Notamacropus eugenii: one gene and its partner. The protein of the gene in region 1 interacts with the protein of each later gene in a biochemical or structural test. Links are inferred from orthologs where the notes say so. Each region holds a gene or a part of one and is shown on either strand. Other genes may lie near its edges.

What was found.
Region 2: of the proteins of KHDRBS1 (region 1) and FGR, one has a biochemical effect on the other in vitro, tested with the Homo sapiens proteins (2 studies listed by BioGRID, with this or other methods). The link is inferred for Notamacropus eugenii from reciprocal best matches to the Homo sapiens genes KHDRBS1 and FGR.

The regions. Positions count from the first base shown.
Region 1 is NC_092876.1:77,776,370-77,783,544, reverse strand, and holds the start of KHDRBS1 (KH domain-containing, RNA-binding, signal transduction-associated protein 1), read left to right. Parts: upstream 1-4,094; 5' UTR 4,095-4,222; coding exon 4,223-4,622; intron 4,623-7,175. UniProt on the Homo sapiens protein: Recruited and tyrosine phosphorylated by several receptor systems, for example the T-cell, leptin and insulin receptors. Once phosphorylated, functions as an adapter protein in signal transduction cascades by binding to SH2 and SH3 domain-containing proteins.
Region 2 is NC_092876.1:68,801,987-68,809,657, forward strand, and holds the start of FGR (tyrosine-protein kinase Fgr), read right to left. Parts: upstream 3,005-7,671; coding exon 2,885-3,004; exon of another isoform or gene 2,629-2,884; intron 2,051-2,628; exon of another isoform or gene 1,207-2,050; intron 1-1,206. UniProt on the Homo sapiens protein: Non-receptor tyrosine-protein kinase that transmits signals from cell surface receptors devoid of kinase activity and contributes to the regulation of immune responses, including neutrophil, monocyte, macrophage and mast cell functions, cytoskeleton remodeling in response to extracellular stimuli, phagocytosis, cell adhesion and migration.

The DNA of each region.
Region 1 (7,175 bases):
ACAGCCATTCTCTCTATCCTCCTCCCTATTTATTAGCATTCGACAAGTATTCTTCTATACCAGATGTGGAAAATGATCAGGGGATTGACCACTCCATCTTAGAATTTCTGGTAAAGAAGAAAAAAGTCAGGCACAGTCTGACACACCCTAGATTTGGGGAGAAACAACTATTTCAAATGACTCGGAAAAAGGATAGATTCTATAGGGAAGTCAGGCAGAATCGTGGAATTACAGAATCCCAAGAGTTGGAAGAGATTGCAGAGATCAGGGGGTCTGAGCTATAAGTAAACAAGAATCTTCTTTACGTACCTAACAAGAGGCCACCCAGCCTTTGCTTGAAGACCTCCAGTGAAGGGCTCACTTCTTCTCAAGGCACCCCATTCCACTTTGGGATAGTGGTAATCATCAGGAAGTTTGCCTTTTCTATGGAACCCAATAGTTTCTTTGCAACGTCCATCCATTGCTCTTAGAGGTGGGCTCAGTGACTAGAGTGTTACTGGTTAGACTGCTAAACTTGGAGTAAAGAAGGTCCGAGTTCTAGTTTGGCCTCTGACATATATTTTGTGACCATGTGACGCTGGGCAAATCCTTTACCCTCTGCCTGCCTCAGTTTCCTCATTGATAAAATAAAGATAATGATGTCACTTCCCAAGTTTGTTGTGATGATAAAATGTAAAGACAGGAAGGTTTGCTTTGCAAACCTTAAAGCACTAACATAAATGCCAATTATTATTATTAATTCTGCCCATTGGGGGCAAGCAGAAGAAAAGGTCTAATTTCATAGGACAGTCCTTAAAATACCAGAAGGTGGTTGTCATGTGCCCCCTAAATCTTTACTATCCTTTTTGCCTTTTTTCTGTAGGCTCTCTAGTTCATCAGCACCTTTTGTAAAACAGAACACAATCCTCCAGATGGCGACTGATCGGGTTAGAGTACAGTGAGACCATCACCCCGCTAGTACTGGACATTATGTCAAAGATCAACAATCACATCTTTTAGATTTTTCATTACCCTCCAATTAAGTTTGTCTGGGCCTGGTAAAACGAATCCATCAAGGACAACAAGGCATTCCCTTATCACCTCTCTGCTTTATCTTGGGCATCAATTCTAGGGGCCATTTTTTTTCCCCTTTCCCATCAGATCTTTGTCTTTCTCAGAGAAAAAAAAAGAAGCAAAATCTGAATTGAATTATTCTTCTTACTCTCTGCTGTCCTGCCCTTCATCCTGTCCATTTGAATAATAATGACCCTTTTTATGGTAATAATGAGTTGATACCCAAGATAAGTAAAGAAAATGTTAAGAAAATACCCAGCTACCTTTGATGGATTTGTCACTAAACCTGGATGTATCCCAGGGTACTCAGAGAAGAGGTCTGTGTGATTGTCTAGCTATTCTGTGATCTTTGAAGGAGTATGAAGCATGAAGCTTGTATGAAACTTGCTGTGGGCCTGGAGATGTGCAAATATTTTTCTGATTTTCAAAAAAGGGAAGAAAATGTGCAGTTTAGAAACTATAGGTCAGTGACCTTGATTTCAATTCCTGGCAGAATTCTAGAACATATATTAAAGGGATGTCTCTTGAACATCTAGAAAAAGGAAGCAATGATCATAACGAGTCAGCCTGACAGCAGTTCATGCCAATCTAACTTTACTTTGCTTTCTTTGTTTTCCCTGAGTAACTAGATTGGTAGAATGGGGAAATGTTGTAGACAAAAGATAGCCAGATTTTAGCAGAATGCTACATGTCTCATGGTATTCTGTGGGACAAAATAGAATATTGACTAGATAATAGTACAGTCGTACAGATCCAGCGCCTGTTGGTCAGACCCAAAAAGCAGTCATTAATGGGTCAATGTCAATTTATTTAAAAGGTCTGTAGTGTCCTCTTGAAGAATTCTGGGCTTAGCCCTCTGCTGTTTAACATTTATCATTTTCACCCAAGACTAAGATAAGGTCAAAGTTGGTACCCTTATCAAATTTGCAAATAACAAAAAGTTGGAAGGAATAGTTAAAGACACTTCATCACAGGATTCAGAAAGAGATTCTGAAAAGAAACTTCCTGAAACGTGCATTAATTCCAGCACTTGTTTATATTAAAGTCCATTTGTTAAAAAAAAAAACCCACCACCTAACATTGGGCCTCATCTCATAAAATGAAATTTAATAGGAATAAAGTTTTACGTGTGGACCTCAGAAATACAATTTGGGAGAAGTCTTGGTTAGGCAGTCTACCAGATAAGTGAGACACTTTCAAAGAGATCTAAGAGTTTTGGTGGAATGAAAGGTAACAAAGTTTTGGTACTGCATCCCATCAAAGCAGCGCAGCGATGAGAACTCGGGAGGCAGGAGCACCTCTCTCACTGGCCTGGGCAGAGCAGGTCTAGAGGGCTGTCTTCGGCTCTGGGTGCCCCATTCTAGTTAGAAGTAGGCACGGCCAAGCTGGACCCAGCCCGAGGACGGAGGCCCAAGGGAAGTCTGAAGATGGGTACACCTTGTGTGGGATGGCTCAGGTCCCTACATAAATCAGTTACTCAGAGGCCTCTCAAAGTGATGACAGAAAAGAGATTTATTCGATTCTCGAGAAGCGGGGCTCACCTGTAGGAGTAGGAAAGCCAAAGACAAAGAAAAGACAGTGATTTATACAGACCCTAACACAAGTCCCTCTCCCCCCACTGACCATTATCCTCATTAGCTGAGAATATGGTCTTACATTCTAGACACGAAATCTAACCAATCCCTTTTGAAATGAAGACATCGAGGAATTATGTAAGTTTTGTCCAGTCATTGAGACCCTAATACACTACACAGTTTTATATCCTTATATGGAACTATTCTATTCTAAAAATATTGTAACCTTGAGCCTTTAGGCCTTACCTCACCCCTGGGAGAAAAATTACAATCTGAGGAGTCTTCACTAAGTCTATCCCACTCAACCTGAAGCTTTCACTGGATCCTGGATTTACAAGGGAATGCCACTTTGAAGGTTATTTATGTAGTCCAAAGCCTTTACTTCGTAGATGCGAGGTTTGTCTCAGTGCTTAATGGCCAAGGCAGGATTCAAAACGAGGTCCGGTCCACTGATTCCAAATCCAGGCCTCTGAATACGTGTTTCATGGAATGTACACGTGGTTTGAAAGGTCTCTGCCCTCCCCCCGCCCCCCAGGCTGTCATTCCCAAACCCTGGGAAGTCGAGGAGATCCGGGGAGGATGACGACATCTGCACAGGCCTGGGGAACTTCTCGTTCCGTGGGAGGAGGGCAGGTAGTAGGAGAGGCGGTTGTAGCGACGCCTCCGGGAGCGCCCTTCTCGGGGCTCGGCCGGAGCTGGGGTGAAGCTTCGCACCTTCTGGCACAGACCTTTGGTCCGCGATCCGTCCCGGCGGCTCTCGTGGGTGCAGCGCGGGAGCGCCTCCTATCCCCGCCCCCCGCCCAGCCTGCCGCCCCACGGGAGCTCCGCAGCCGTTGGTTCACTGGCCTCGCGGAGCCCGAGCTAGGTCCGGCGCCAGCCCGCCCCGCACGGACTGAGCGGAGGGGCACGCCCTGCTCCCCTCCCGGAGCCTCACCCCGGACCCGGGCCGAGCTTCCCTCCAAAGCCCTACCCGCCCAGGGCCTGAATCCCCTTTTTCTTTTAGACACCTCACTATCTTCCGGAGTCCCTTCCCCCGAGGACTGTTAGAAAAGGGCGGGGCTCAAGCGGAGGCCAACCCGGCTCTCCCCGAGCCCGCGGGGCAGCGTTCAGACAAAGACATTCCACGGCCCCCGCCCCAGCTCGCTGCCCGCCCGCCCGCAGGGGTGGAGACACGTGTCCGCGCTACAACCTGGTCACGTGTTATAGGGAGCGAGGGAGGGCTAGCGCGTGCGTACTGGCGTTAAGCAGGCTCCGCTAGCGCTCCTCCGCCGGTTCCTCAGTGGAGGCGGTCGACGTGAGGGGCGGGGACTTAACAAGGTGCGCGCCGGTGGTGACGCGCAGGCGCCGTGGCAGAGTCGGGGACTTTGTTCTCGGCTCTGGGAGCAGGGCGGCACCGGTGGCGGGCCGCGCGTGCGCAGTCGCTCACTTCCGGTGATCTCTTTCACTCTGTGTCTGGGTCGATCTCTCGCTGGGTTGTTCTGGTCTGCTCCGGTCCTCTCCGCGCCAGCTCTCCCGCCTCCGCCAACCGCCGCCGTTGCGCGGGCCTCCGCCGCCGCGCTCCGTTCCTCAGCCGCCCTCCCGCCCGCTCCGCACTCATGCAGCGCCGGGACGACCCCGTCGCGCGGCTGTGCCGGCCCCTGGGCCGCGGCGGCGCCGTGGATCCCTCAGGCGCCCACCCGCCGCCGCGCCAGGCGCCGTCCCGGCAGCCGCTGCCCTCTCACCGGCCCCGGGGCGGCGGCGGAGGCCCTCGGGGTGGCGGCGGCTCTCGGGCCGCGCCGACCACGCAGCCCCCGCCGCTGCTGCCTCCCTCGGCCACCGGCGGGGGCCCCGAGGTGGGCGGGGGCGGCCCGGCGCCTGCCCCGACCCCGCTGCTGCCGCCCTCCGCCACGGCCGCCGCCAAGATGGAGCCCGAGAACAAGTACCTGCCCGAACTCATGGCGGAGAAGGACTCCCTCGACCCGTCTTTCACCCACGCCATGCAGCTGTTGGCTGCAGGTGAGCCGGTGCCCCGTGGCGGCGAGCCTCGGAGGGGGCCCGGGCCCAAGCGGGGGAGGGAGGTGTGGGCTCCCCGCTCTTTCTGCGGCTGTAACGGAAGGGGCCCTGGTGGATTCCGCGGAGAGAACGGTGGCTCCGGTCCTGGAGCGCCCCCCCTCCCCAGGCCCGGGCTACGAACCCCCGAGGGAGGGGTGGCATCGGGGAAATGTCACTGTTAGGTCGCGGGGCTGGAAAGGGAAGCCGAGGCCTCAGTTTCCCCGCCTGTAAAACCGAGGGGAGAGGGCGAGCGAGATGCCCGAGGACTCTTCCGAGCCTCAGCTCCCCCATCAGTTAAATGGGGGGGGGGCGGTGAACAAGGTGCCGGAGGGCCTCCGTTTCCCGGTCACTACTGTGAGAGGTGGGGTGACGACGGTCCCTTCGGAACCCGGGGTCCTGCCCCCCTCCGAGGGTCTCCATCCGCAGCCCGTGCCCGGCGCCTCGAAAGCGCCACCTCCATGCCTTTTGATTGACTGGCCGACGGCCGGAGCCCGGAGTCGGCCTCTGCCGCCCGAGGCTGGCCTGGCGGCGGGGCGGCGGGTGCCCCCAGCAGGAGGGCCCTGCCGGGAGGGACCGAGGCGGGCTGGGGTGGGAGGGGCAGGGGGCGGGGCCGGCCGGGGGCGCCTGCGGCCCCAAGTGGACACGACTCCGCCGACCCTACTGGCCGCCCAGGGCCGTCCTCTGTGGGCCCGGCCGTACCCTGCATTCCCTTCCCCTCCCCCCGCGGGTGTTTAACGGCGTGGGATCCTCCTGTTCTCCACTCGAGACTCTGAACCGCGACAGCCGGGGGAGGGGGGCGAGGCGCTCTTTATCCTTAATGCCGGAGGACTCGGCCTGGAGGGAAGTTGCTCCCCCGCGCCTCGCCCCGAGAGCGTGTTGTCGTGGGTTTTATCCTGGTTGGAGAACTGACTAGAGAAAGGGGGTGCCAGTCTTTGTTCTGTGTCTGCTGAACGCGCTCCGCTCCCACATCGCGCGGTCCAATCACCTGGGAGCTCCGATTCCCCTTATCCCCACAACCCATCTGCTTTGTATTAGCTTCTACTTGTGGGATTCTTTTCAAAAGAGTTTTTTATGATAAATAGATTTACTGGGTACGTTAAAATCTGGAACCTTCAGGGCTGGGAACGTTAGTTTATTTGGCAACCTTAAGCATCAGGAGACTTGGAAAAGAAGTGACTTGGCTGTTCTTTGTTCTCTGTCTTGAAGGGGGGCCCGACTTTAAAAACAAAAATTGAAACCTGTGATTGTCAGCATTCCGATCAGTCAAGTTTACATCTCATTTGATGTAATGGGAAACATTTTTAGATCTAATATTGTGTTTAGTGTTGCCCGTTCTCGGTTGTGTGGTGTAATTCAGTTCTTTTGGAAACCTGCTTGGGAAGGGGGTGTTCCCTTTTTAGATTGAGGTTTACTGTGTTGTGACATTGTAAGTGTCAGATTGGCTTAGCGTGGTGGCACCAAAGTGACATGCATTGCTTTTCATTAAGCACCTTCTCTTTTGATATGTAAATATTTTTCTTAATTATTGGAAGTGATGCTTAAAATCTGTGACCCATTTTCAAAAAACACTGATTTTTCTGAAAGATGGCTCTAATAATTAGTCTTTATATTGCCATTGAGTAGCTCCTCATTTGCGTTTTAACTACGAAGTAGTTTCTGCTAGCACATCTCATCAACTGCTGAATAGTCTGGGAATTTATATTTCCAAAAGTATCTAAAAACAGATCTAGATGAAACACATCAAAAATGACCTATAGTGTACTTTTTTAGTGCATTTGTAGTAATGGCTCTTATGTTTAGAGCTGTAACCATACACAGAACTCCTTATTTTGTAGAGCCAAACAGGGTAAGAAATCGTAAGGTTACCAGATCCTTTAGGCCTATACCAAGTTCCCAATAGGTAAATCTTTGTAACTGGAGTTTTAAATGAAAGGTTTCTTAGAGTAAGCACTTGAATGTATTAATCCTCAAACGATTGAGGTTTTTTCCCTTTGTTGGTTTACCTTTTGTTTCCTTCCAAGAGAAACTTTAGGGAAACTTTTTCATTTGTTAAGCTTTGGTTTTTCCTTTAGTTAATTTTACTGAGCTGGTAAAGTAATTAGAGCCTAGATTCTTAACCTTTTACGTATCATGGACCCTTGGGCAAACTTGGGAAGCCTGTGGACTCTTTAGAATAATGCTTTTAAAAGCATAAAATAAAATACTGAAAATGTACAAAAGAAACTAATCATATTGAAATACAGTTCTCAGGATATTTTAAAGAAACTGTTGCATGCAACCCACCTTAAGAACCCCTGTCGGAGAGATTGGATTAGAGAAATATCATTGTTAGGAAAACCAGATGGAGAGCTATATTCCAGTTCTAAGTTGTAATACTTTTTGTTAAGGTATTTATGAATGAATTGTAAAGATTCATTCAGAATTTCAAATATAAAGTGAACCCCAGGAGGCACTCTTAAAGGTTCTATGATTGGGCAATATAGTGGCAAATGAGTGAGACTGTGTGTGTAAATATAC
Region 2 (7,671 bases), about 9.0 Mb from region 1:
TCGCATGTCCTCCTCCCCCTCACTATTTAATCCTTCCCACGTGTTTCAGGGCCTCTCCACTCTCTGCAGGCCTGCAGCAAAGCTTACTGTCTGTGTCTCTCTCACTGGACTGCCTGCCTGCATTAATATTGGTTCCAAGAGACTGAAGGTCGAGTAGTACAAATACCAGACTGGGGATCACAAGATCTGGTCCTGGCTCTGTTGCTAACTTATTTTGAGACCTTGGACAAGTCCCCTCCCTTCTCCAGGCTTCAGTTTCCCCTTGAGAGAATTGGATTTGATCTCTAGGGGTCCTTTAAACTCTGATGTTCTGTTCTAAGGGCCCTCCCAGCTCTGACATCCTAAGTTCTAAAGATTCTTCTAAGGTTAGAGACTTTCTATCTTCTAAGGAACTTCCCAGCTCTCACATTCTATGTTCTTGGGCACTACCCAACTCTTTCCATAAGCTAAGGCCTATTTTAGCTCCAGCAGTCTATATGTTCTAAGGCTCTTCCCAACTTTGACATACTACAGCATTTTCTAGGGCCCCTTCTAAGCTCTACTATTCTAGGTGCTAAGGCCTGTTCCAGAAATTTGTGACAATTTATGATTCTTTATCTTGTCTAAACTCCCTAAAGATGGGAAACCATTGCTTCTCCCTCTTCTGTCTTCCTACAGGTCCCAAATACATGATTGGATATGCAGCAAATGTTCAATTAGGACTAGATGACTGTTGGTCATCCCCAATAGAATTGTGTCCTTGGGTACTTGTAAGAGCATACTTTGCTTTGTTAGGTTTTGGTCCTTACTGAGAATGGAGGTGATAAGTGAGGAGCATCTCTGGCTTGATTCTCTAGGCATCTGGTCTTATGGCCTGACCTTGGAGAGTCAGGATCTACTGATACAGTAGCTCTAGCTCAGGAATCATAGCAAATGACTTGACTTGCTTTTGCCCATAAGATCAGTCTAGAACCTAGTGAGCAGAGCTGAAACGAGTACATAGAAGTCTAGTTGGGGAAAGATCAATATACGAAAGAATTTCCTAGCTGTCAGAGCCAGCCAACAATGGGATGGAATGTTCTGATGGGTAGTGAGCTCCACATTGCTGCAAGTCCACAGACAGATGCAAGATGACCACTGGTGGATGATGTTTGTAGAGGAGATCAGACTTCAACAACAAGGTCTCTCAGGTTCCTTTCAGCTCTATTCCTTTCATTTTCTGAAAAATCATAATCCTTGATCTCAGAACAGATAGACTGGAAGAAGGTCAGGAAAGCAAAGAAAGGACCTAGACCACACCCTTAAAACTGCTTTGTCTGGTAGGCAGAGATTTCAAACAGCTCTGGTCATTTTCCTGTTCCCTACCAACCCTGTCCTAGAGCTTTCTGGGCATACAACACCCAGATACATCACCCAGAGGGCTAGAAGTTGGCAGATTTCCCAGGAGGTCTCAACTTCAGATAGGAGCAGGTGAGATGGGAGGTGAGGTCATACTGCCCTGTATGTTTCCTGGTTAATGCAGAGAGTTGGCTCCTTTCAAGTCCTGCCCCCTTCTCCTTTGGTTTCCTTTGTCACTGGGCCTATAGCAGAGTAGGATCCTCCACCCTGCTCTAGGTCTTTGACTTTCACTGGAACACCTTGCCCTCGGGGATGAAGGGTGGAGCTGGTGAATGTATCCTTTTAAAGAAGTTACTAAGGGCTGGGCATCTCAGAGCTTCTGGGGAGCCAGGAAAATGGATCACTTGTGCTCTGTGGGGTTGATTTGGAACAGTCTCTAGCCTCAGATGTGTATGGTGGGCCTACTTGTGTTTCCCACCCTAAGGAACTCCCAAACAAGAAGAGAGAGAGACCTCTCATTTATACCGCAGACCCCCTTCCTCTGAAAACTTGTATATTATTTCTAATCAGTGGGCTTGGGTTAAGAGTGGGCCTTCCTCCCCCAGTTCTCATCTTTCCCTCAGGGCCAGGTCACTGGGCAGAGTGCAGACAGACAAGAATAGAATGGAATGGCTCCATCTACCAAGGTCATAGGGAAGAGGAAGAGCACCTGAACACAGGCCAAGGGAAGAAGGTGAGCTGAGGGGTCCCAAGACTCGGATCTCATCTTTATTCAGTTCAGGAAAGCATCTTAGAGAAACTGGCATGACCAAACTCTTATGCTTGGTCACCCCAAAAAAAACTAGTTTGGAAGATGCAGAAGTAGATGTCAGAAAGAGTTTCCTAACAGAACTAACCCAAAGCAGATCAGAGTCCCCCAGGATGTGGTGGGTTCCCCCTCGCTCAAGGTTGTTAATGAAAGGCTGGATGACTACTCCTTAGTTGTATTGTAGGAGAGATTGTTGTTCAGGTACGAGTTGGACCAGATGGCCACCTAGGGACTGACAGGTCTGAGATTCTTTGATTCTGTAGCTGAGGGGACAGAACACTGGGCCTGGAGTCAGGAAGACTGACCAAGTTCAAATCCAGCCTCAGACACTTATTAGCTGTTTGACCCTGGACAAGTTATATAACCTCTCTTTGCCTCAACTTCCCCAACTATAAAATGGGGGTAATAGTAGCACAAGTTGTTATGAAGATCAAATGAGATATTTGTAAGGTGCCTGGCACATAATAGGTACTTAGTAAATGCATGTTTCCTTCTTTCTTTAGTTACTTCCTTCTGCATTTGTACATGGGGTGTTCAGGGAGGACCAGCACCTCTGGCATGAGGGCTGCTCATCCACCCTTGATGTTCACCTCTCACCTAATTCTCACCTGTCACTCCAAGAAGCTGTAGCATGAGCAGTGGTCACACCTTGGTAAAATCCCCTTGGCAGACAGGATAAACCAGGATGAGGATACCTGACAGACCGAAAAACTATCAGCAAGTTAAGGGGATATCTACCCCAAGCTTATGAAGACTTACCTGGAGGAATGGGCAGATGAGAATAATTTGTTCCACCGACCATGAAGGCAGCTGAAGCAAGCTCTGTGGAGCACTTAGAGCTTGGTCAGACATTGAAGATGCCAAGGTCATCCACTGCATCTCAGGCTATCACCAATCATCCTGACTTCGCTCCTGCCACTGGACTTGGATGACTCAAGAAGAGAGTGAGGCTGATGACTTTGTGCAACTTTTCCTCACTTAAATCCAATTCATGAGCAAGTGAAGACATCACTCAATATGTAACTGGTGCTTTTTCAAAATGAAGGACAAACAATAGTTTGGATTAGCTGGCTTCTTCCAGATGAGATTCTGAGAGGAAGCTGAAGTATCCTACCCAACATCACATAGGTAGTAAAATGGCAGAGCTGGGCCTTAAACTCAGGTCTCCTAACACCAAATTCCATACTCTTTTCACTCCCCACAGATCTCCTGCCTCTAAACTCAGATGGGGCAAGCAACACAAAGTAGTCAAAATTGCTCCAGATTTGGAGTCAGGGGTTCTGGGTTCAAGAGCCAGTTCAGCTACTACCTGTAGTAACATGAGTTATATAGGGGTAGAGACAGGAAGAGAATCACAGGGAGGCGGTGTGTGGGCTAGGTCACCTAACTGACACTGTCCCTTATTGTGCAGGGATTAGGCAACACAGATATTCAAATATTGAAACTGGGAATGAATTGTCAGCCTGACCTGGTTTTTGCCAGGTATCCACCCTGGGGGAAGGGAGCATCTGTCCCTGCCTTTGGAGAGCCTCCTCGACTAATAGCCTCTGGTCCCAGGAGCTCCCCACTCAATGGAGGAGATAGGTCAAAAATAGATAACCACAGCAGGATCTTAAGGGGACAGCAAAGGTTGGGGATTATATTATACCCAGTGGAGTTCAGCCAATCCAGTTTCCCCACGGGAGAGGGTTGGAAGGTACAAATGAAAGAAAAGGATGGGGCTAGGGTGTGGCAGACAGGGAGGGGATTGTTCCAGTCCCCTCCCCCACCCCCCCAGGAGGCCCTGCCTGAGGCTTTAGTTATTTAATGTAGTCACAAGCTGACAAAGGACCTCAAGGCAGAAGGGGTGGGACAAGGATTTATGTTTCCTGCAGGTGTTAGTGGCCTGGTCTGAGGTTTGAGGGAGGCACCCATGGTGCTCTAGGTGGCTCAGAGATTCCCTGGGGCAGTGGCCTCAGCATTGAGGAACAGCACTCAGCTGGTGAATTCCAAGGTGGACCTCATGGGTAGAGGGGACCACTGGGTTATGGCCTCTGGTCACCAGTATGGTAGGGAAGACTACAGTAGCCTCTCTGCAACTTTAGACACCGTTGGCCATCCTCCACACCCAGACTCTTTCCTTTCAGAACTTTTCTGACACAGCTTTCTTTGGTCTACCTTCACCTGTCTGTGTGGGCTTCTTCTCTGCCTCCTTTGCTGTATGGTCATCATCATCCCCACCACCCCACCACCTCTTATACTTCGTGTTGCTACAGGCTCTGACTGGGGCCCTCTTCTTTTCTCTATACCCTCTGTCTTGGTAATCTCACCACCTCCTTATAGGATTACTATCTCCTCTCTGCAGATATGTCTATCCAGCTGTGGTTGTTCCAGGTTCTGGGCCCACATCACCAACAATCTCTGTACACGTTCAATTGGATGACCTGTAGGCATGTGAAACTCAACATGTCCAATCACAATTCATTATCTTCTCCCCAGACTTGAGAGATTGGAAGGACAGTAATGCTCTCAATAATAGGGGAGTTGGGGAAATGGGTAGGTTTGAGAAGTAGATATGACCCTACTCATTTCCCCAACTTCTCCATTTCTATTGAGGGTATTATCATCTTTCCAGTCTCTCAAGTCTGTCACCTTGGAGCTAGCCTTGAGTCTTCATCTTCTTCTAGACAGACCAATGGTCAAGCCTTGTCCATTCTACAGCCTCAGTATCTCCATCTCTCCCTACTCTCCCCCTATATTATAACCACCCTAGCCTATCCTGGAACCACCTCTTATCACCTGTTGTCCTAACTACTGAAGTAGCCTCCTAACTTGCCTCTCTATATCTGGACTCTATCCTCTTCAATCCAACCTCCACACAGCCTCTTACTGAAGGCGTTTTCAGTATGATGCCAGGCTGCCTTTCCAGGTTGATACATGACTCACGTTCACATATTTTACACAGCAGTCAAACTGGCCTGCTTGCTGTTTCCTTGTACACAACATTCCTAACTTCCATCTCAATACCTTTGCACAGCTCCCACAGGCCTAGAATGTTCTCCCTTCCCATCTTTGCCTCTTAGAATGCAGAGCTTCCTCGCAATCTCCGATCACCTGGGGCTCAAAGATTTTCCTGAACCCTGTGATAGCAAATGCTCCCTATGAAATTACATGGTATATGTGATGTATTTACTTACATGTATGAATGTAGATATTGTTTCTCCATTAGAAAATAAGATTCTTGAGAGCAGAAACTATTTCCTTTTTGTTTCTATCCCTAGCACTTAGCATAATGGCTGACACATAGTAATTTTTTGTTGTTGTTTCAGATGTGACTGACTCATCATGACCCCATTTGGGGCTTTCTTGGCAAAGACGCTGGAGTGGTTTGCCATTTCCTCGCTCATCTTACAGATGAGGACACTGAGGCAACCAACACTAAATGATTTGCCCTGGGTCACAGCTAGTAAGTATCTGAGGCTAGATTTGAACTCATGAAGAAGAATCTTCCTGAGTCCAGGCCCAACAGCTCCATCCACTTGGCCATCTAGATGCCAAAGTGAAAATTTTAGCACACCCTAAACTGTATATACTTAGTAGCTTACAAATCATTTTACTCACAACTTCATGAAGTTTTTCCCCCGTCTTGATCTAAAGCTTTGTTTTCATTTGTGTATGGAACACAGGATGTGTCCTGCCACCAAACCAGACCCAGATACCTCCCATAACGTATAATCTTACAAGGTTGCTAGAGATGTTCAGTGACTTGCCCACAGTCACACAACTAGTTCTGGTCCCATTTTAGGTGGTGGCCCAGTGGATAAATAAACAGGACTTAGAGTCAGGAAGACCTGAATCCAAGTCCTGCCTCAAACACTTACTGGCTGTGTGACCCTGGGCAAGTCACTTAACCCTCTTTGCCTCAGTCTTCATTTATAAAATGGGGATAGCAAATAGCACTTACCTCCCAGAGTTGTTGTGAGGATCAAATGAGACAACCTAAAAGTGTTATTACTGTTATTAATCATGCCTATTTTATAGATGAGGAAAGTGAGAGAAGTTTAGTGATTTGACCAGTTACATAGCCATGAGATATCTGAGGCTGGATTTGAACTCCTGACTTCCTGACTTCAGGTCCAGTGTATAACAACTCACAGTTCCATAGCATTTTAAGGTTTGCAAAGCTCTTCACCTGTATTATTTCATTTGAGGCTTATAATAAGTCTTGGAAGTACGTTCTCAAATGAGTCTATGTAAAGTGCTTTGTAACCTGTTTCCTAGAAACTGTCTGAGATTTTGGGAGGGCATTGAGAAAGCCAGTCTCTTTTCCAGAGGCCGAGGACAAGCTAGGGCTGGGGGAAGGGACAGGATGTTCTTGGAGGCGTTAGGAGAGTTCTTTTCAACTTGAGAAAAGTGACCTCCAAACATGCTCCCTCACCTAGGGCTGGCTTAAGCCTTTGTGGCCCCGTGGTTTGACCTGTGGCTTCCTCTGAACTATTTGGTGCGACTAGAGAAAGAAAGGGTCAGCAAGGAGCTGTGAACGGTGGGGGGCCGAGAAGAGACTAAAGGGTAGGCAATAATATCCAGCTTCCTGGGTCCCCGGAATGCATGTGTGCCCTGCCAAAGGGTCCAAGCCCACCGTCCTCCTGGCCGGCTACAGGAACATAGCCCTCAAGCCGGTACTGCCCCATAGCCGTCTCACATGGACGTCTCGCCCGGATCCCTAGCCTTCTACGCCCACCGGATGTTCTCGGACCCTCACTTCGGTGAGGGCAGGCTCTGGGTCTGACCGCGGCCAGTCATTAGACTCTAGCACCACCCCCAGACAGCTCCATGACCAGAATCAGCTCAGCTCCCAGCCTCTAGCCACTCCCCACCCCAGATCAGCCCAGTGCTCAGTAACTGGCACCCCTCCGCCCTTCATAGGCCCCACCCCCGTCTCTGGCACCTCCCAGACCTCGCCCTCCACACCTGGCCAAGTCCCTAAACCCAGTCCTGGCTCCAAAATCTGCCCTACCTGCAAGACAAGCCCCGCCCCAGGAGAGTCCCAGTCCAGTTCTCCTCTGTTTTAGACTAGTTCCCGTCCCCAGGAAGAAGTCCTACTCCCCAACCGATCCATGCATCTTTCCCATCGTTCCTCTCGACCTCAAGTTAATTCCTGGTCCCCATCCCCGGGATTCTCGCCCCTTCCCACCCTTCCCCAGTTTCAGCCCCATCCCTAGCCCAGATCTAGTCCCACGCCCGGAGCACTCTTTTGCTCCAGTGCTTTCCCTATTTGTGACCACCCAGACCACCGTCTACCTACACACAGGGTCCCCACCTCGTGCTTGGCCCTTCCCTTGGGACCCAGGGCCCTGTTCTACGTCCTGCACCTGGCGATGCACATCACTCCTGAGGAGAAGACTGATGTAGGCCCGGAAGCTAAACGATGAAGTAAGTGCTGCTGGTGAGCCACGGAGTGCTGCGTAGAGAGCTTCACTGACTCAAGAACTCCTGGTGCCCGCCTCATCTCCATGAAGAACACCTGCGGCGTCATCACAGCTGCCTCCGTTCCCATCCTGTAGTGA